2 linked regions of the Rhinolophus ferrumequinum genome follow. The protein of the gene in region 1 binds, or shares a complex with, the protein of each later gene. Links are inferred from orthologs where the notes say so. Each region holds a gene or a part of one and is shown on either strand. Other genes may lie near its edges.

Evidence for each region.
Region 2: the proteins of CTSK (region 1) and cystatin-C are in contact, whole or in part, in a crystal structure (PDB 8V57), measured with the Mus musculus proteins. The link is inferred for Rhinolophus ferrumequinum from reciprocal best matches to the Homo sapiens genes CTSK and CST3. Residues at the interface, in NP_031828.2 of Mus musculus: Asn132, Gln133, Gly134, Gln135, Cys136, Gly137, Cys139, Trp140, Glu173, Asn174, Tyr175, Cys177, Gly178, Gly179, Gly180, Tyr181, Met182, Ser248, Ala251, Ser252, Gln257, Phe258, Val274, Asn275, His276, Ala277, Ser297, Trp298, Ser301, Trp302; in NP_034106.2 of Mus musculus: Pro27, Arg28, Met29, Leu30, Gly31, Ala32, Pro33, Gln75, Leu76, Val77, Ala78, Val80, Asn81, Tyr122, Pro125, Trp126, Lys127, Thr133.

The regions. Positions count from the first base shown.
Region 1 is NC_046305.1:50,974,936-50,985,584, reverse strand, and holds the start of CTSK (cathepsin K), read left to right. Parts: upstream 1-5,803; 5' UTR 5,804-5,958; intron 5,959-7,463; 5' UTR 7,464-7,464; coding exon 7,465-7,587; intron 7,588-8,051; coding exon 8,052-8,174; intron 8,175-8,259; coding exon 8,260-8,415; intron 8,416-9,384; coding exon 9,385-9,603; intron 9,604-10,649. Other genes in the region: ARNT (aryl hydrocarbon receptor nuclear translocator), read left to right, coding at 1,105-1,267, 1,683-1,852, 2,538-2,627. UniProt on the Homo sapiens protein: Thiol protease involved in osteoclastic bone resorption and may participate partially in the disorder of bone remodeling. Displays potent endoprotease activity against fibrinogen at acid pH. May play an important role in extracellular matrix degradation.
Region 2 is NC_046306.1:44,116,566-44,127,478, reverse strand, and holds cystatin-C, read left to right. Parts: upstream 1-6,335; 5' UTR 6,336-6,451; coding exon 6,452-6,697; intron 6,698-9,318; coding exon 9,319-9,432; intron 9,433-10,243; coding exon 10,244-10,327; 3' UTR 10,328-10,599; downstream 10,600-10,913. UniProt on the Homo sapiens protein: As an inhibitor of cysteine proteinases, this protein is thought to serve an important physiological role as a local regulator of this enzyme activity.

The sequences.
Region 1 (10,649 bases):
TCTCCTCAGCCTCGACTGCCTGCTTTCCAGTTTTTTCTTTGTGGGGAGCAACTAGATAAAAATCTCAAAGTCTATGGTCTTCACATGTTCACTTCAAATTAGATTGCTCACACAGAACATCTAGAACAGGTTCAATTTTCAGATTTGTTTTGGAGTAAATTTAAAGAAGTTTCCACTTTTGTTAGGACTACAAAATACAGGAACAAAAGAAAATTAATTAGGAATTTATGCATAGTAGTGTCTGTTTACAAAATATATATGTGTTGAAAAGTCCTTATAATATATATGTGTATATGTGTATATAATGTTAAGCCTAACACTAATATTCTTTCATATATTTATATATATTTATGTTAGTAATATATAATAGATGTAACACATATAATACATATAACTATAGTATGTATTATGTATTATATACATAGTAATAATATAAATGTAAATAGTTAAATAGGAATATTTTTAATAAAAAAGCCGAAACCAAAAGTAGGCTCCAGAATTACATGGAAAATAATCTCAATTGTATATAAAAAAAAATGCACAAGAAAATAAAAACTGGAGAAATTATCCAAAAATTTTAACTGTGGGTCTTTGGTGGTAGAATTATGAGTGATTTTTTTCTTTTTCTTTTCCTTCACTTTCCAAATAGTCTGGAATACACATGCATTAGTATTATGGTGAGAAAAATGGTTAGTTACCCCAAAAAGCATCATTAGGAACAAATGGGTGTGATATAGACTGAAGAACAAAATGTTGCAAAGTGTTTTTTCTCCATATGTGATACTATACTGTTATTCATGCCTCCAGTTTCTATATAACTTTACAATTTATAAAATGCTTTTATTTAAATCATTTTCTTTCAGTTCTCACACAACTCTAAATGTATACTTTTATTAATACCATAGTTCTTTTTGTACTTGATCACAACTGAAAAATAGTGTCCAGAGAGATTGGGAGTTAATTGGCAGAAATATGCAGTAGGGAGGGGGTGGGGAGCTGGCTCAGGAACCCAGTGATTGACAGGGGGCGCGACTCTCCTAGGAGAGGCACGTGCAGTCGTGTTAACGTTCCATGTGTTCTTCTCTGTTCCTTTCTCTCTTCTAGCAGGTGGCCACGCAGGCTACAGCCAAGAACCGCTCTTCCCAGTTTGGTGTGGGCAGCTTTCAGACTCCGTCCTCCTTTAGCCCCATATCCCTCCCCGGTGCTCCCACCGCGTCACCTGGCGCTGCTGCTTACCCTGGTCTCACCAGTCGTGGGTCCAGCTTTGGTGAGTTCAGACCAGAAGGAGGTAACAAGAAAATCACATCCCTAAAGAGAAAGAGTTTGGTAGTTTAATACAACAGTTTGCTTGTGTCCTGGATGCACTGAGCTAATTGTGGAGAAATGCAAGATGACAGTCCATCTGGAATTTAAAACCTAGCCACATGAAAATGACTTTCACACGTATAACAAAAAGCATGGAGGTATACAAATTTCATAATAGGTGAATTTAATCTAACATGAGCAAAGAACTCTTTGGAAAGGCCACCTAGAGAAGAAAAATTAGCTTAGGCTGGGTTTTAAAAGAGGCATTGACTGGCAGAGAGAAGGGAGGACGGTTCCAGGTGAAATGAATCACTTGCATGTTATGTCTAGGTTTTCCTCTCCACTGGAGTTAGACTGAAGTTTCTTCCTCCTCATAGCTCCTGAGCAGCCTGGGCAGACCGCAGGACAGTTCCAGACACGGACAGCAGAGGGGGTGGGAGTCTGGCCACAGTGGCAGGGCCAGCAGCCTCACCATCGGTCCAGCTCTAATGAACAACACGTTCAACAGCCGTCAACACAGCAACCCGGCCAGCCTGAGGTCTTCCAGGTGAGAGGATGAGAAGAGCTCCGAAAATCAGGAACTGGGAGAGAAAGGGTCAGGGAGGAGAGACAGAGAGGAAGCATGCATGGAGCGGGCGTGACTGGGGTGTGGGGGAAGCCGGAGTGGGAACAGTGGCAGAAATGTCATTAATTGGAAAGACTGTGAACTTAGTGTGATGCACAGCCTCTAACGAGACCACTTGCGAAGACATGGAATTAGTTTTAGCCCATTCCCACTGTACAGTAGCTTGTGTATAATAAACGTACTGATTCTAAAGGTCCATTTACATACATCCTGAGGGGACTGCAAGACTGAATGGAATAATCTTAGCACAAAGGAAGAGATAGTTTAAAGCACAGGTTGAAAGATGGCAAAATGAGTTTTGGTAGAAAACAAATAGGATGAAAGATACTCCGTAAGTACCTCTAGGGGGTTACATGAAATGTGGCAGGCAGATTTTTCTCCTTTTGAAAGTACTGAGGACTAGAAAAGGGGGAAAATGTGGGACTGTAGGAGGAAGGCAGAAGGGACTAGGAGAAAAGGTTGTCATCGCCAGGAGTCAGACTCGCCGGGAGGAAAGAGGGCTGAGCAGGAGCTCTGGGCCAGGGATGGGGGCGCAGGCATGTGGGGAGGAGCTCGGCACACGGAAGGGATCCCGGGGTGTGACCCAGACTTGCTCTTCTCTTTTCAGGAGATGCTGTCCATGCTGGGAGACCAGGGCAGCAGCTACAACAGCGAGGAGTTTCCTGATCTCACTATGTTTCCCTCCTTCTCAGAATAGAACTATTGGGGTGAGGATAAGGGGTGGGGGAAAAAAGTCACCGTTTGTTTTTCAAAAGCAACTCTTTTTGTAAACAAAATAAAAGTTCCTCTCCCTTCCCTTCCCTCACCCCTAAGGTGTACCCCCTTTCACTTCTGGCCTTCCCCTTTCCGTCCCGCCTCTCTGAGAGACTTTGTAGATGACATGGGGTTGAATCCTCTAGACTTGGGGGACCCTCTGAGAAACTGAGGCTGGGTGAGGTTAGGAATGCCTTGCCTAGGTCTCATGACCAGGGATCTGTGCAGAAATGATTGTGCTAAGGTCAAGGGCAGGTTCGAGAACTTGACGTCCACCGTTTGCCTTGGATTCTATGGTTCGTTTTTGGAAAGAAATTCTGACTAAGGTGGGGAAAAGGAGAACTGTCCTCGTATGTGAGGACATGAAACGTGGTAGGTGTATGTGGGGCTTTAGGACGGGAGCAAATTTTCTTTCTGCTGCTTGTGAGCAATTACTCTGGAAAGAAACTGAATGAGGAAGCAAGAGAGGAGAGAAAGTGTGTCTGTGTGTGGTGTGTGTGTGTGTGTCTGTGTGTGTGTCTTTCTCCCTATTAGGGAGTTATGCAAAATTTGTCCCAGATTTTATCTTTGTTTTTCTCTGTTTTTTCAAAGAGTCCTAAGGAGTTAAATCTTCCAGGTATTTTCCACTTAGTATTGCAGCCAAAGAGTATTTCAATAAATGATTTTGCTGCACTTCCATCGATATCCAGCCAATATGCAACTGTAAGCAGATATGTAAAGTCTTCTGTTGATCTGTTTGGTCTCATCAAGCATATTTAGTGATAAAGCTGGGTCATTCCCGCTTTTGGTGCTCTCGCCTTATATGGAAGATCTGCAAACTACGGAAATAGGCTGGCAAGAGAAACATTTTCAGAAATCCCCTACTTGGTCATAAGGATAATGCTGCATATTTCTGTCAGAATCACCTGTGGGTGTTCTGTGGAGGTTATTTCTGCATGGAAACTCAACTTCTTGGATTAGCTGGCCCAGTGAAAACACTGCTGGAGTTTATACCAAATACCAAGCCTTGCAAAGTGGCCTCTTCATCCCATTCTCAGAGTATCCAGTCTGGCAAGAAATTGAGACTTAGGTCTCTTCTGGGCCTGTAGTTCTTTCCTCTTTGCTCCCTCTCCAGTCTTGATATTGGATGTGCTTGATGGCGCAAGTGTCATAAACCATGTGCTAGATGGGGCCTGGCCGCCCATCCCGACAGGGTCACTTAGTCACTAACTACAGCCATATCAGTGGGGGCACAGCTTCCTACTGTCACCCGTCGTCCTCAGGTAACAGTCATGTGTATCAGCCTTTTTTTCTTCATTGGCTCAGGCCAGTATCTTCAATGCAGGACTGAATTAATAAGGAGAAGACATTAAATGTAGCCATAGTGGACTAAGGAGCACGGGTGGCCTGCAGAGGCTGAGATGTCACTACGGGCTTTCCCTCCCTTTGTCTCCAGTCTGGTGCCAGGCCGTGGAGTGGGAAAGGAGACAGTTTATTTTTTTATTCTATGTGCACACATACAGTATACATATATATTTATATCACAGTGTAAGAAACCAAAAAGTTGAGTTTCCAATGAAATCCTTGTTTTTTTAATAATCACCTGTTTTTAAATGTGATCCGGACTATAATATTGTACAGTTATTACAGGGCTTCTGGAGCGGGGAGGGAGAAGATGCTCTGGGGGGCTTTTTTTCTGCTTTTCCTTCAGGGTTTTATTTTTGATTGTTTTGTTTTGTTCCTGTTGGCCTTTGTACAGTGGCAAAAATAATGACATGTAGCAAGTATTGTAAAACAAAATATTTTTTCCTTTTGTAAGCTTTGTGTTGTGTCATCTTGATTGCGACTTTATTATTCCTTTCCAGCTCATAAACAACAAACACCCACAACTAGTTGAATCCATAGCCTGAGCTCCAAATATATAAACATAAAACACAGTGTGTCTATAATTTCAGGAATCAGGCATCACAGGGCTCACTCAGCATTCCTTGGTTGTCCTCCTGACCCTGACTCATTCTGAGTAAAATCAGTCGGGACATCTGACCATGGGGTGGGGGTGGGGATTACCTGAATCCTTGGGAGAGCGGAGGAGAATTGGGATTTGAGATCAGCAGTGGCCATCTGGATTCCTTCCTCCAGGAGGTCCTCCTCTCTGGCTGAAAAGGAATTAGGGACGGGGAAATCGACACTGTTCAGGTCCGGACCTGGCAATCCTCTGGGACCATATAGTTCATCAGCACACCTTCAAACCCAGAGGCAGAGAACTGCGTTCTTGAGGAATACGTGTGTAATCCTGCCAGAAACTGAATCCAGAGCCCATGTATTCCTGCTCCAAGGACCCTCTTTTCCTCTTGCCCCACATCTGGTTATGGAAGAAAATGGAGTTTGGGGGTGTGGTTTGGGGACTGAGCTAGACTCATGATCTGTCACATGCCTGGGTGTTGGGGGAAGTATGTGGGAAGTATGTGGAGAAGCTCAGATGACCTGGGCTGGGGGTTTTAGTAACAGCCAGGCACTCTTCATCAGGCATCCCACCACCTGAGAGCTTAGTAAGGGATGTCACGTGTGAGCTTGTCAGTGCTTATGCCATTGATTCATGTGCTGTCAGAAATTCCCAGGAATACTGCTTTGGGTTACTTTTAGAACCGGTTTCATCTGGACCTTCTGGGCACATGCTTCCTCAGCAAAACCATGTTTGGCTGGGAGAGCTAATACCCTCCATGAAGCAGCAACGACTTAGCCAACAAGCTTATAAAATACAGATGCTTTTGGAACCTCTGACTTCCCTTACGACTCTTTCCTAGCCTTCTGTGTTTATTCCCTCTCCTCTGGTGGGAACGTCAGAGACAAATACAAAACAAGTTTCAAAGAGACGGTGATGGAAAGATCAGGAAAACATGTGATCCCCCAATATAATTAATAAAGAAGGATGGGGGAGACCAGAAGTGTGTCCCTCTAGCTACTAAAGAGAAGATAATCCCCAACTTAAGTAATGTAATTTGGGGGATTTTTTTTTTTTTACTATTTTTTGGTCTGCCCTCAGAAAGAGGCAATGTGAAACTGAAAAAAAAGCAACCCTCCATGCAGAAACATGCAAATCCACTACCTCCTCCTCTCCCCCGTGCCCCCTTCTCAGCATTTCTACCCTCCCTTCTTTCCCATCCAATTTTTCCGACCAACAGCTGGAGCTGACTTCCGCAATTCCAATGGAATAAATCCAGCACCCCTAGTCATCCGCTCACATTATCCACAGTTCCCTGCAGAAACGAGCCCAGAGAACAGATCCCAGCCAGCAGGTAACGTTTTTTCGACTTCCTAGTACATTTAGCTTTTCGTTCCTGCCAATTCTGCATCGTAGAAGTGTTAGGGGTGTAGTGACTTGGGGTTCAAAAGGCTGCGTGGATGAAAATGATGCCCTTAGGTCATTTCCTGGCCGTATACAATCTGCCTGGAAATTTTTAGGATTTCTTCTAAAGCATTTGTGATTTGTATGTATACGTGGTTACTAGTGAAAGCCAAGAGTACAGGGGATCCTTTACCCATCCTTCAAAGGGGGACCTCTTTGTGGGGTTTTCTGTTTTGGCCAAAGGTACGAAAAGGGTTAACTTGTGGTGGGGGGAGGTGGAGTGGTGCAGGGAGACGGTAGCTCAGTACTTCCTAATCTGTGACGTCTCAAAGCCCCTAACAATCCAAATAGTAAATGTCCTGCTGGTTATTTGCCAGTTTGCAAAGAGCACACAAAAATGGACTATAAATTCAAAAGTTATGCAAGACTATAAATTGTTCTTAAAATGGAGGGCACATAAGTAAGCCACTGCAAGAAGTGAGCGACGCTAGACCAAACTTCTATAAAGCTGTGTATTTAATGGTCATAGAACGTTGCTTTTCTGTCTTATGTTCTTTTAACAAACTTTGGTTCTGAGGCTTTTTGGCCTGGGAGGCGGTCACAGAGATTTTTTGTTGTCAGAGAAAAAAAAACCACCAAAAACCTTCCCACAGCAGCTGGTCGAGATTAGGACAGTTTCCTGCCTGAGGAGGGAACCAGAAGAGAAAGAAGAACTGCTAAGAATGTTGAGGAAACAGGAAATCCATTCTCTCAGTTAGAAAATAGGAAATATGGTCAACTTTGCCCTTGTCGACTCCTGCTAAGCTCTGGAAAAGTGAAAGAATTTAGCCACTGAAGAGAAGAATGCCTGACAGAAGTGGTCAGGGTGCAGAACTTAGCTGGAAATCTCTCCTCTGTGTGTTCTCCAACCTCCTTCATCCCCCTTGCACTTACCTTGTCCGTCTCTTCCAAGGCTGCTGGGGGCACCGAGACAAATGCTGAGCCCATGCTGATGGTCCATTTTCTACCCTGTTTCTAGTTGTCTGTGGAAGTTGTGTGTGTGTGTGTGTGTGTGTGTGTGTGTGTGCGTGCGTGCACGCACGCGCGAGTGCCCTGAGTCTCCCTAGGTCAAATGACTAGGAACCAGGTATATCAGCACCCCATCCAATCCCAGACCCCTCCTGACCACCACTGTTCTCTGTCTACCTTCCTCATAAAGCCTCATACAGCAGAGGAAGGGGTTCTGCACTTCAGGTTCTGGAACTCCCCAGAATGACTGTGTGTGCATGCATTTTTCTGGTGAGAGGGTTTATAGTGGGTTGCAAAACTATTAGCTTCTCAGAGGAGTCTATGGCTCCCAAAGGTGAAGAACCACCTGTCTGGGACTATGTCTCCAGGTAGCTATCTCCTCATCCTAAGCCAGGCTAGGAACTCCTTGGCAAATAGAAGAGTCTCCTCTAATTGTCCTCTTCCCAGGATGTGGGGGCTCAAGGTTCTTCTGCTGCTGCCCCTGGCGAGCTTTGCTCTAACCCCCGAGGAGATACTGGACACGCAATGGGAGCTGTGGAAGAAGACCTACAGGAGGCAGTATAATAGCAAGGTGCCGAGGACCCGGAGGGGAGCACTGAGGGGGGGAACCCTGAGACCTCCAGGCTCCCTGCTTCTGTCCAAATACTTTCACCACCCCAGCCAAGCAACCCTGCCCCCGTCCCCTAACTGTTAACATGTGGTTTTCATTCCTACGCCTCGACTTACCCTCCATCAAGTCCTATCCTTCCTTTTTGTTACAACTGCCTTCTCTCTTTCCTTTGGGACGATTTCTCAGATGAATGCTGATAATCCATAAGCAACTTTTCTATCCATCTCTCCAGAGCTTTGCATTCAATTATTTGTTCATGTTTCTTTTTGCACGCTCTTAATAATCCCGTGGTCATTTGCCCAACTAGACGGTAAACTCTATCCCTGGAACTTGAATCTTTTCTCCTAAAAACCTCCACAGTATTACATCATGTGACTTTGTATACCGCACGCAGTGTAGGCCAGTACTGACTGTGGTCTCTTTAGGTGGATGAAACCTCTCGGCGTTTAATTTGGGAAAAAAACCTGAAGCACATTTCCATCCATAACCTTGAGGCCTCCCTTGGCGTCCATAGCTATGAACTGGCCATGAACCACTTGGGGGACATGGTGAGTTGAGCCTCCACACCTGGCTTACCTGCCCTGTTGGCCTCAGGTCGCTGCTTAGGCCTGGCCTCTTTCTTCTTTGTCCCAGACCAGTGAAGAGGTGGTTCAGCAGATGACTGGACTCAAAGTACCCCCATCTCGTTCCCGCAGTAACGACACCCTCTACATCCCAGACTGGGAAGGCAAAGTCCCAGCTTCGATCGATTATCGAAAGAAGGGATACGTCACTCCCGTCAAAAACCAGGTACCCTCCAGTCTCCTGGGTGTGGGTAGGTAAACTGGCACGGTCTCTTCCTTCGCTGCTGCTTTGTTCTTAAGGTACGGGGGCCCCAGGAAGAGGGGGCAAGGAATGACGGTACCTCTCCCCATGCTAAGAGAATATAGCCTATTCCATTATTTACGTAACTCATCTCCAGCTTTGTACATGTAGGTTGTTTATGCATTTTCTTTTTTACAAATAGTGGTGCTATAAGCACCTTTGTGCAAAGGTACAAATATTTATGCAAAATAAATCCCCAAATTAAAATCGCTAGGTCACAGAGCCTCCTTTCCAAAAAAGGTTTTACACTCTGACATTCTTACCAGCATGAGAATGCCAGTTTTCCCATGGCCTTCACAACGTTGATTGTATCAACCAGATGAACTACTGATTTAACACTCATTCAACAAAAACTGTTTCCCCCCCCCCCAGAATCTACCAGGTGTAGTGCTAGCCAGTAGAGATTCAAGACAACAAGTCATAATCTGTGTCTTCAAGAACTCTTCAATCTTAAAAAATAGAACAGGAAAGAAAAATCTATACTCTAGCTGAACAAACCCTAATAATAGCTTGCACTTTTTAAGAGATTATTATGTGTCAGAAATTTATAAATCCTTGACATGAATTAATTTTTTAATCCCATTAAGTATATTATTATCCACATTTTACAGGTAAGGAAACTGAGGCACAGAGAGGTATAGTAACTTACCCAAGGCCACATGGGTAAGGAAGGGGTTGCAAAGGCAGTATTCTCTGCTTCACTACAGTGAATGGTAACAACAGTAGTAATCGTTACCAGCGCAAGGACAATGCAACAAATGTTAAATGAAGAACAACCAAGGGGACGTGTGTGCTGGAGTTTCGAAACTGTCTGGAACTTCATCACCCAGGTAGAGGGAAGAAACAAAAAGTGGCACCTGCAGTGACTGACAGTTTCTCTGTTCCGCCTCTCAGGGTCAGTGTGGCTCCTGCTGGGCGTTTAGCTCTGTGGGTGCCCTGGAGGGCCAGCTCAAGAAGAAAACTGGCGAACTCTTAAATCTGAGTCCCCAGAACCTGGTGGATTGTGTGTCTGAGAATGATGGCTGCGGAGGGGGCTACATGACCAACGCCTTCCAGTACGTGCAAAAGAACCGGGGCATCGACTCTGAAGATGCCTACCCGTATGTGGGACAGGTGAGACTGTCCCCACACTTACACAGCTCTGTCATGGCTCCTCCTTCCCCTCCTGTTATGCACTGGAGACAATTCTAGAAATCGCGTTTGCTATTAACTTATCCTACTTTCTCCATGGGATAAGTGCCCACAGAAGGCCAGGAAGGTTCCCACAGTCTGGAGGAGCTTAGGCTGCCAGAGGCGATCTGCTTCTCTGCCCTGGAGAGAAAACAGAGGACAGGTTATTCCACAGATCTCTGAGCAGGTTTCTGGAAGCCTCAGCTCCTCCGTTCCCATCCCAAATCCCAAACCCACCATGCTAACTTCATGAATCTTACTGCGGATCTGGAGCTCACTGAAGCAAATTGTCTAAGTTAACATGCAAACATATACAAAAGGAGAGAGAAACAAGTTGCTTCATATTTGTTGTAATTTTAGAGATCAACTCACTTCCTCCTATAAGATCATTTAGCAACAGGAAGGAGGTCTGTCTTACCCAAAAGAATGAAGATCTGAGGGCTTTTTACTGTACCTGGGGCTGACAGATAATATAATAGGGGGCCTTTGTAGCAGGCATCTTTGAAACAGGAACAGCAAGTTTTAGTAATAAGAATGATGGCTGTGTTGTGCTAAGCTGTGTGCTTCGTGCATTTTCTCATGTAATCCTCATGGCAGCCCTGTAAAGTAGACTTAGCCTCACTTTGTAAGTGAGGGAATTGACACTTAAGGAGATGAAACAGCATACTCAAATTCATGCCACTAGTTGTGCAGCAGAGCCAAAATTTATCTGTGAGATCTGTTTATCTGCTGCAAGCATTGCCAAGCGTGTCTTCTGTGCACAAGTGCAAGAATGTCTTTACTAGAATATAATACCATGGGACAGAATCGACCGACTCTTAGGGTACGTGCATCTTCAGCTTTACCAGATAATGTCAAATGGTTTACCAAAAGGTTTGGAAAAATGTATATTCCCACGGGCAGTGTGTAAGAAATCCCATCGAGTCACATCTTCATCAGTACGTTTATGTGGCTGTCTGCATTCGCTGTTTAAATCATATCATTTTTCC
Region 2 (10,913 bases), on another chromosome or scaffold:
ACACTCCACCCTACAGGGTCTCACCTCACAATGTACGTGACAAGCATCTTCCGTGAGGGTTCCTGTGCCATTTTAGTCTACAGGCACCTATGGACGGAAAGAAACAGTAGTCTTAGGAACCAACAATGGCAAATCCCTTCCATCTGGGAGGATACACGATAGCTTTTTGTCCTGGGAAAGGAGGGTCACTGCCACTGGCACCTTTCCCGGTTTGTGGTACCAGGCCTTTATGGCAGTGCTTGGGGTCCCTTGTATAGTTTCAACATATAAGAGAACAGGGGACCCCATAATAGGCCATAGTGAGAGCACATAGGTTCCCCGAAAATCATCCCGGTAAACTGCTCTCTGAGGTTCTGTCCCCACAGCCACTGTGCTCTGTCTTGCCTCTTTCTACAAGGGCTGTTGACAGGCTTTCCAGTGAGTATCACAATTTCATAATGTTATGGCATCAATCCATATTGTTTTGCCAATGTTGGCACATTGTGTAGAAGCATCCCCTTGTCTCCCTGGGTTGAGCGGTGGGCAGAGGGAGATGGAGGAGGGGTGTGTATATGGACTTCGGAGCTTGACCTCTGAAAATCCTATTTATCTCATAAGAGAGGCTCCCAGTCCTTCCATGTTAATATGCCACTAAAACCCATGACTTGCTCAGTCTAAGCTTTTATTGTGGACACCAAGTTTTAATTGCTCAAAGTCCAAATGTTCAGAATCTCAACCGTTGGTCAAGTTGATGTGACCACTTGCCCCTTTAGGTGAAGTTTTATGTGCTTGATCATTTACTTATTATTGTATCACTTAAAATATAGTATTATTTGTTTATCACAGAGAACGTCTGTCACCCTCCCACCTAACGTCCCGCTCTACTAACTCAGATCATGAGTTCACAAGTCACATACACAGCCTTGTGGGAACATGGTCTTCTCTTCATGTGACAGAAGGAAACACGCTCATCTCCTGGGCAGATGTGCTCCATCCTCCATGGTGCATGGGTGCCGGAGGCCCCATGACTCAATCCTGAGTTCACTGTTTCTCTCTGGTCTCTGCTAGCTGATCCATGAAGCTCTAGGCTACAGATTGGGGTGTGGGCCATTCCAACATTTTAAACCGAGTTTACACATCACCACTGGGGCTTGCTCATTTCTGTCCATTCCGAACCCCAGATACTACAGTTAACAAAATAGCTCACCTCTCCAGATTTGTTACATTCCTCCAAGGTCAGAGCAGATGTCAGCCTCATCCTAGCCTTGAACTTAATAGACCGTACTGCAGTTTGCTCTGGTAGCTCCCATGGACACCCTATATTGGGATTACTTTAGTTATTTTATCAGGACAACTTCATCTCCATGAGTACGTGCCAGCATCCCAATGGAGGATCATGATAGGTAGTATAATCAAAATACAGCAGCAGTGTCACAATTCAAGCCACCCCCCAACACACAGCTACCACCATGCTCCAGTGACTTGGGTGCTCTGTACCTCCTTTCTAATGACACAAGAAGGAAGGATCCCTTATATCTCAGCTTATCCTCTGCACAACTTACCTTCCTCAGACTGGAGCCCCATTTACTCAGCATGGGTGGGGAAACCACATGAGAACCAATTTCCACCCTTTGGAGATAATCACTCTGATCAGAAGTATCTGGCCAGGGGCAACCCTCCCTTTCCCTTCTGTGTTTATCTCCCCTTCTTTTCTATTTCAGTAAGAAAGCATTGAAGACCTCCTCTCCCTCACCACACTGCCAGTGCATCCCTGCTGCATATAGTGGGGCACTACAACCTTTCTAGAGGCTCCCAACTCACAGTGGAGTCAGGGGTGAAGGGGAGCAGATACACCACCCCAAGACCCAGCAGGCTAAGGAAAAACTTACTTCTTCCCTAATTGCCTAATAGAATTTGGTTAGGGGCCTGCACCAGAATCTCTCTGTGTGGCAGGGCAAACCTCTGATTAGCAAAATCTGCTCTTTCCATCTTTCTGTGAGTTGCCCTCTTCCCCTTTGAAGCCCCAGGCCCCTCTCCCGTTCTTTAGCTCAGGATGGCATGGAAGCCTCAATTGCCTTTGAGTCTCATATTTTTATAGGGCTCCTACATGTACAAAAGTAAATTTGCTTTTCTCCTGTTAATCTGTCTACGTCAAATTAATCATTGGACCAGCCAAAGAACCTAGAAGGGAAGGAAGGAAAATTTTTAATTACACCCCTACATCTGTAACTATGCATCAAGAAACAGGCTCTCATACCCTAACACTGAACATGAATGTCCATCATTGATATTGCTCTGGCATCCTCTATTCCTGATGCTCCTGCCCTAGGACCACAGTGGGTCTGGGCTGATGCTGACTGACCATTGCTTCCACTGCTCCTAAGAGAGTCCTTCTGAGTGTGCTTCAAGGGTCTGGAGGCCTCCTGGTGTTTCTGACAAAACCTATCACTTTCACCATAGGTCATTTGCCACAGGGTCACCTTCAGGTGTGGAGGGTGGGGATTCGAGAAGAAAGGCAGCCAACTGTCTGTTCAGAATGGCCTTTCTCCCTCTCCACTCCCAGGGCAGTATTTGAGCCCAGGCCTGCACAGTCCTGAGCTAAGGACTCTGTTAGCCCACGTGGCACCTGGCTGACCATGTTGTCTCAGACCAGGGAGAAAGAGAACAAACAGTTAAAGGACAGCTCAAAAATGATGCTGATTGAAAGCAGCCAGACACACATGTGCTAACACCATGTGATTCCATTTACAGAAAGTACAAAAATAGGCAAAACTCCAAATTGACAGGGACAGGTGTGTGCATTGCCAAGAGCCAGAGGTGGGCATGGGACTGACTACAGAAGCATGAGGCAGCTTTCCGGGGTAATGGAAATGTTCTAGACCTTGATGGAGTGGTGATACTCGTGTACACATCTACCAAAATTCTTCAGTCTAGACACCTAAAATGGAGTGTTTTAGTTTATGTACATTATACCTCATTCTAGGTGATTTTTTTTTTTAAACATGGAGAATGTTTTCCAAGCGATGGACTCAGCACCAGAGCCAGTAATGTGGCTCCCCGAGGGGAGAAGCAAGAGCAGCCCATGTGCTTTGGCATACATTCCGTCCGCTGCCTGCTCCCTTCACTGTGTCCCTCCCACCTACCCTCTGCAGCGTCCTGGAATGGGTCTCTCTGCACCTTCTCCCCCGGCCCCCATCAACAGTTTATTGTCCACACAGCTGCTGGTTGAGATTCCGGGTCATATCCCTTCCCTGCTTAAATACCCTCCAGTGGCTTTCTGTTCCTAGAAAGGTGATCCCAGCCCCATCTCAGGGCCTTTGCACTGGCTGTTCTCTCTACCTGAAGCTCTCTTTCCCTGGTCTCGGCAGAACTTCTTGTCCTTTACATGTCAGCTTATAGGTGTCTTCTCAAACAAGCCTCCCTCACCTATGACCAGTGACACCCATCTTTCTCTTTCACCACTTCTATTTTACCTCCAACAAAATCCCTATCTTAATTATTGATCACTGCCCTGCACCCCCACACACATACACATAGAAACATCCTAAAACTGGGCTGTGCAATACCACAGCCACCCGCCACACTTGGCCATGGAGAACTTAAAATGAGGACCGTCTGAATTGACAACTGCTCTAAGTGTAGAATACACATACAGGATTCCATAGAGTTAGCGGACACAGAAGAAAGTAAAATAACTATTAACAGTTGCTTATACATGTTTAAATAATATTTTAGATATACTGGGTTTGAAAATATTATACAAACTGAGTCACTTCAAAATGGTGTCAAAGCTGCCATCCCAGAGGAGCTACCTTGAAGGTCTTACCCCTCAAACCTGTGGACTGTTAATACTGGGCAAAATAATCTTTGGACTATGCCTATAGCAGCACTGTATTCGAGCCAACTGTTTGCAAAGTTAACAGGTGCCAACCAAAGGTCATCGATGCCAATTGAATGCCAACAGGAGTCCTCAATTTGGGGTGCGGTGATGGGAGAGAGACTTTATTCAGTGAAAACAGCTCAATTGTGATATAGCATAGCTGAGGAGCAGCAGGGTGGTGAAACAACTCAGGAGAGGTAGCCAAGGTGAGGCAGCCTCGGTGCTAAGGCTCCATTGTCACAGTTCTGCTCTGTTGTTGCAGCTCCAGCTGGGGAAACACACTCTTACACGGATACTCAATTGTGTGCTCCAACAAGACAGAGGTGCAGGTGGCTTATACGAAGAAGAATGCCTGCCACCAGTCCCTGATTGGTCCATTGCCAGGCAAATAAGGGCTCCAAACATCACAGTTTGATTGATCCAAATAGCACTGACCTGATTGGTCAGAATGGAGCAACTCAGATCAGTTAGTAAAGATACAAATAAGGGTATAGCTGCCCAGCTTGATTGGACAGGGAAAGTCTCAGATCTATTGGTTGAATTCCAATCCCAGGTGCTCTATTATAAGGGTTGATTCATAATGTAGAAGCACAGTGCACAGGCTGACAGCTCAGCCTGTAGCTTTCATTTGATATACAGCGTGTATAAGAGGCTTCTGCCACAATGGCTGCTAGACTCCAGTTTTGAATTGGGCCCAATTAACCACAAGGAATCCTTCTTGGCAGGTATTTTCTTTTTTGGGATCAAAACAGGGGAGCACAAAGGTAAATTCAAGTCTTATTTAGGGCTACCTAGAACGAGCATAACTAAGTTGTTTTAAAGACCGTATCCAATCAGACTGTCTCCCCCTCATTTTACTGTTAAATTGTGATTTCAAATGGTATAAAATTGAAAACAAAAACAAAAACTTGTGTTATTGTCACTGTAAATAAGACTTAACCTTCATACCTCACAATGTGAATTCCCTTGGGCTAAGATTTCATTTATGTGTATACTACCACAGTGCCATGCTGATAAGGATAGTCAATAGATAACTATATGATAATAATTGATAAGTAATTTTCCTGATGACTTTTCTGTCTTCAAAAAAAATTTAAAAACAGAATAATTTTTTATCTAGACATAGATCTCTATCAAATATACATTAGACGTTAATAAGAGTGTTATCATATATACTGTAGTACAATTGCAATTGCTTTATTCCTACTTCACATTTTTACTAAATGTCAACCTAGCATTGTAATTTAAAATTATTTTTCTTCTAATACATTTAATTTTTCCATATATTAACATAAGTTAAACTTATCATTTGACTGTAATAAAAATATCTGAACCAATTTCTGTTTGCAAAAAACAAACAAGAAACAGGGAAGCAGAGGTTATGACTAGAACTGAAAATCAAAGACAGTCTTTAGAATAAGCATCACTATATTAGCTTATCTGCATCTGTAGAAATTCCTTTCTTAGCTTATTAACACCCATAGAAATTTCTTCCTTCTAGTCAAATAACTCCCCTTCCTTTTATCATAAATACCTCTTGCCTTTACTGTCTAATAGGAACACTATTTGAGGTTTCTGCCTAAAACAGTGCTTCTAGAATAGCTATTCTTTTGGAGCACAAATCAATACTTGTTGCCTCTCACCTTGATTTTTTTTTTAGGTTAATATATCAAATAAAAAATCTGAAATCTACTGTCACATGTTTCTTTTTACTTTCCTCAATGTGTCTACTAGAAAATGGAAAGTTACACATGGGTTCGCATTTCGTCTCTATATGGCAGCCCCTCTACAATGCCAAGTCCAGGGATCACTTGCCCACTTGTCACCTACATACTGATTCTATACTTCCTGGCCAGGGAGAAGCCCAAGAAAGCTTTGTTGGTTGAAAAAATAAATGAATTGTGAAAAAGAGAACCTGAATTTTTTACCAAATAGAAGGTAATCAATTCACTTATTTTTGGCAAAGACATTCCCCAGTACAAAGTACTGACGGGGTCTTCCCCAGCCTTTGAAGTCCTATGCCTACTCTGGCGACCCCTAGAATTCGACCAGCTGCTCACAGGACAAGACAGCTATTTTTCCCTTGTAAAAGAAGGGATTAGACTTCAGGGGTTACAAGGCTTTCAGAGGGGTGACACCTATGAAACTAGGGTGAGCTGGGCTTGGGAGCACACTAGAGGAAGTCTGGGGCTGGTGGGGAGCAGCTGGAATGGATCAGGGTAGGAAGAAGGCCAGGACTGAGTGGAAGGGGCAGGGCTTAGGGGAGGGAAACGCTGCGTGGAGAGAGGTGGGATTCTAGCCGGAGGGCCAGGACTGAGAGGAAGGAGCTGGGTGGAGGGGCAACTTAGAGAAGTGGAAAGGCCCTGGCAGGAGAAGCGGGACCACGGGACTGGAAAGGCGGAGGGCCCAAGGGGAGCGCAGATCTAGGTGAGGGGGATGGGACGAGGCGGAAAAGGAGGAGCCGGGGGGCGGGGCAATAGGGCGGGCCCGGGGAAATAAAAGCCTAGGCCCGGGGTTGGTGCTCGCGGCCTTCCGATCGTGCCCCTGGGCTTCTGTCTTCCTGACCTAGCTCGCGTCTCCTCCAATCCAACCATGGCCGGGTCCCTGCGCACCCCGCTGCTCCTGCTGGCTGCACTGACCCTGGCCCTAGCACTGGCTATGAGCCCCACGGTCGGCGCGAGCCCCAGCAAGCTTCACCGAGTGGGCGGCCTGCTGGATGCGGACGTGAACGAGGAGGGCGTGCAGCAGGCTCTCAACTTCGCCCTGAGTGAGTACAACAAGGCAAGCAACGACGCCTTCCACAGCCGCGCCATGCGGGTGGTACGCGCCCAAAAGCAGGTGAGTCCCAGGGGTAGGGTGCGGGGGCAGCTGGGCAGGTAGGGCCACCGGGATGCGGGATCCTGCGCCCCGGGAGGGCGTGGCCTTCTTGACGTCACCAGCCGCGCTCCTGTCGGTCCCCCTTGCTAAAGGATGACCCTCCAAGCCCCTGGAGGCCCTGCAGATGGGCCAAGACACACATGCCCAGGCTTCTGAGCCAGTCAGACTTTTCCAGGTCTTTCCTGTCGCCCATGCCAGATCCCGGACTCCTCTGTTTGCTGACAAGCCCCTCGCAAACTTGTCACTAGGAGTGCCAGTGGGTCCCAGGTACTCCTGGTTAGTGCTCTGCCCTTCATTTCTGTTTTAAAGCATCAGCCCCAACAAGAAGGACTTGGGTTAGGGTCAGGGCTCCTGTCCAACCCGCTTAGTCCCGACCCCAGCGTCATAGGACTGGGGGCTCAGTGTGAGCTCACAACTAAATGACCACAGGCAAAGGAAAAACAGACCTCACAGGCAGCCTGGCTGCCTTCCTGGCTTTGCCATTTGAATGATTTTTTTTAAGCACTAGTTTCCTTTTTATGTTTTCTTCTGGCATAATATGAGACTTACAGAGCAGTTGCAAAATTAGCACATAGAATCCCTATAGATCCTTCACTCTCAAATGTTAAAATTTTGCCCTGTTTGCTTTATCTGCCTCCCTCCTTCCCCACGTGTGCATGGGTACATATATGCATTTATTTCTCTGAACCTTTTGAGAGTATATTTTCCTAAAAACAAGGGCATTTCTTACGTAATCACAGTACCAGTTTGAAAATCAGGAATCAACACTGACACAATTATCTAATGCACAGACCTTATTCAGATGTCCCTGATTGTCCCACCAATGTCCTTTATGGCCAAGGACACTCCAGAGTCATGTGCTGCAGCCTCTTTTACCCTGGAGCAGCCTGTGTGTCTGTTTCGTGACCTTGGCATTTGTGAAGGGTCCAGCCAGTCCCTGCAGATTGGCACTCAGTTTGGGTTGGCCTGCAGTTTTTCAGGATGAGATACCAGTCATGCAGAAGTGTGTTCTTCTCCAAGTCTCCTCTCAGCAGGTGCCACTAAACCGACCTCCAGGTCCTCCATTTGCCATGATATTTTGGGCCAGCAGGCACTCCAAACATCCTCCCTGCGGCGGAGCCCTCATTGATCCCCTGCTCACCCTGAGGATATCAGCAAACACAGAGGCTTCCAGAATCTGGCCTGTGGTATCCAGGTAGATGCCACAGCAGAGGGTCTTACATAAGAATCCAAAGCTGCCTAGAGATCTTGGAGGACAGGCCCCTAGAGCTGCTTCATTCTGCAGGTCATACCCATGGAATAGGCTCTGGACTGTAAAGTCTCACTCCCCACCCTGAAATGGGTGCCCCACCCCCAGCAACCTGGGGCAGTTAAGTGCCTGCTGGGATAGAGAGGACCACACCTGACCCTGCCTCTACCAGCCTGTCCTGAGGTTCTGGGCAGAAAAGGAGGGCAGTCATCAGGGTCCAGAAGAGGAAGGGAGGGAGCGTTAGGAAGGGCTACTGGGCCTTGTGCTTGTCCTTGAAGGAAGGCTAGAATTTAGACCAGCTGGCCTGCCTCCCAGTGGGGAGCAGAACATAGTCATATAGCAACAAAGTATGGTGCTTCATGCCAGCGTTCATGGCCCTTATCCGCCTCTTGAAACTTCAGACAGTGGGTCAAGATCTGTTTTGATGCAGGAGACCCATTTCTCCTGCAGCTGTCGGCTGACACTATCCCCTTTGGATGGGACATGCATGCCCTGCTCACGAGGTCCCCACCAGCCTGCTCCCCTCCAGTGTGACACTAGCTTGGTGGCACAGGTCACCAGCCCATGTGGAAAACTGACACCAGAGGGATCACAGGACTTGCTTGGGGTCCACTCTGCAGAGCTTAGGCTCTTCTTCCCAAGGTTATCTGAGTTTTCAGGAGGTGTGTCTGGAGGATGCCTATGTGAGAACAGGCTTCACTTCTGTCATCTCAAATGTGTGTAATCATAAGGTGTGATACACTTCAGAAATGTTCCCGTTACAAACAGTTCTTAACAGCCATCTTTTATGGGCCCAAAAATCCGTGTGTGTGTGTGTGTGTGTGTGTGTGTGTGTGTGTGTAAAACCTGGTACATGAAATAGGCGTCTCGATGGGCTCCACTCTACTAACTGGACTGTAGCTTCAAGGTCATTATCATGTGAATTTTCCTGAGGTGGATCCAGCCTTGACTCAGGCAGAGCTGTCACTTTGTCTTAGTCTCTGACTTGGATCCTGATGCTGGCACAGCTGACACCCTGGCTGATTCTCCATAGATGCACCTTCAGCTCCAGGGCCCAGTTAACAAAATTTTAGTGTCTGGCTTCCACCTTCCATTTTCCTGCGTGTCTTCCCATGAGGCTGTGTGGCACACCTTGTCAGAGCTGCACTGTCAACAAGTTACAAGGAGGGCCTGGAGCACAGTGGTTGGGCAGCAGTCAGGACGGGCCAGGTACCTCCTGGGTGCCAGCTCTGGCAGCCATTGATGCTGGCCTGAAGTGCAATAGCATGAAGGTAACTGTGCCTGTGTCACATGGGCAGGTACTGAAAACCATACCTACTCTTCCTGTGCGTAGGTCGTGGCTGGGATGAACTACTTCTTGGACGTAGAGATCGGCCGAACCACGTGTACCAAGTCCCAGCCCAATTTGGCCAGCTGCCCCTTCCATGACCAGCCACGCCTGATGAAGGTATGGGCCTGAGGTGGGCGAGGGGCCAGGCATGCAGGGCAGAGCGGTGGGTGTGTGTCGGTTGGACGTGTCATGAGTGAGTGTTCTGGCTTGGGGGGATGTGTGAATGTTGGGGGGTGTGGCGGGGATGGTGAGTGATGTGCAGATGCCTAATTTGAATTTATAAGCCAGTCTGAGCTGGGGCCTTGGGGCCCCATGTGGCAGGATTGTTGCCCGCTGGATGGAGTAATCAGTGGGGCAGAAAGGGCGCTTTAATCCCATCCTCAGCCACTGGAACAGATTAGAGGGAATGAGAGGCCTGTAAGGGGAGAGACCCTTCCACGCTGTCCTGTTCACAGAACAGCAGCCTGTCACTGGGCTTGGCTGGTTATTTGGAGCTCTTAGCCTCTGGGGAGAGCTCCGCCCTCTTGTTACCTGCCTAAATACCTGCCACTTTCGGGGCGGATTCCAGGACCGGGCTCTGTTCTTCTGGACCTGTCTTAGTTCTGGCTCCCTGCAGGTGGAAGAACTAGCTCTTGGCTGTGTGGCCTTGCATGGGCTGCTGCTTAAATGGCTGTGCTGGGGTTAGGCAGTGTGGAATCCGGTGGGGGAGGGGTGTGCGGCATGCCACCTCCTGTACTTGGAGTGATGGGAGGGGTGACCCGCAGGCCACCGTTGAGTCCTGTTTAGTAGTCTGGGGCTGGGCGGGGGAGGGGCTGAGAGTCCCAGCCAACAGCCACAGTTCTTCACCTGCATGTCTGAGATCTCCTGTTGGACGATTTCCTTTTCTGCTATAACCCTAACTGACCGTCCCTCTGTGTTCCCTCTGCAGAAAGCATTCTGCTCTTTCCAGATATACAGCGTTCCCTGGCTGAGCAAGATCTCCATGGTGAAGTCCAGCTGCCAGGACGCATAGAAGACAAATGACAAGCTGGGCCACACTGACTGCGTCTCATTTGCACCCCCCTCCCAGTAGAGTTCCTAAGCTTTAGATGGGTGAGCCCACCTTGGTGGAGTCCCCTCAGTGTACTGGCCCCAGGAGACAAATAGAGAAAGCTTCTTGAGCATTGTTTGGATAGCTAAGTGGCTCTAACTTGTTTATTTCTTTTAATTGCTTTCCAGATGCACCTGTCCCTGGTGCACACATTCTGCTCCTACTCTAAGCAATAAAAATGAACATTGCTGCTCCTTGAGTTGTTCACTGTCTTGGGGACGTGCCTGAAGGGTTTGGACAGTAACTGTATGAAGAGCTCCTTGTCCTGCTGGCTCTGGAGGCCAGAGGAGGGGACCAGAGCTGACGCATAGGTCCACAGGCCACTGGGCGTTTCAGGGGAATGTGCTGCCCCTTTCCAATGCCTGAGTGTGGAGGGGGCTGGGAAGCCAGGCCTCTGGTCGTCACCACAACCACATAAGAAAGGGGAGGGGCCCTAGACTGCTGGCTCTGGAGACATGGCTGCTGCATCTGAAAAGGACTCAGACAGTGAGCAGGCCTGCACCGGCGG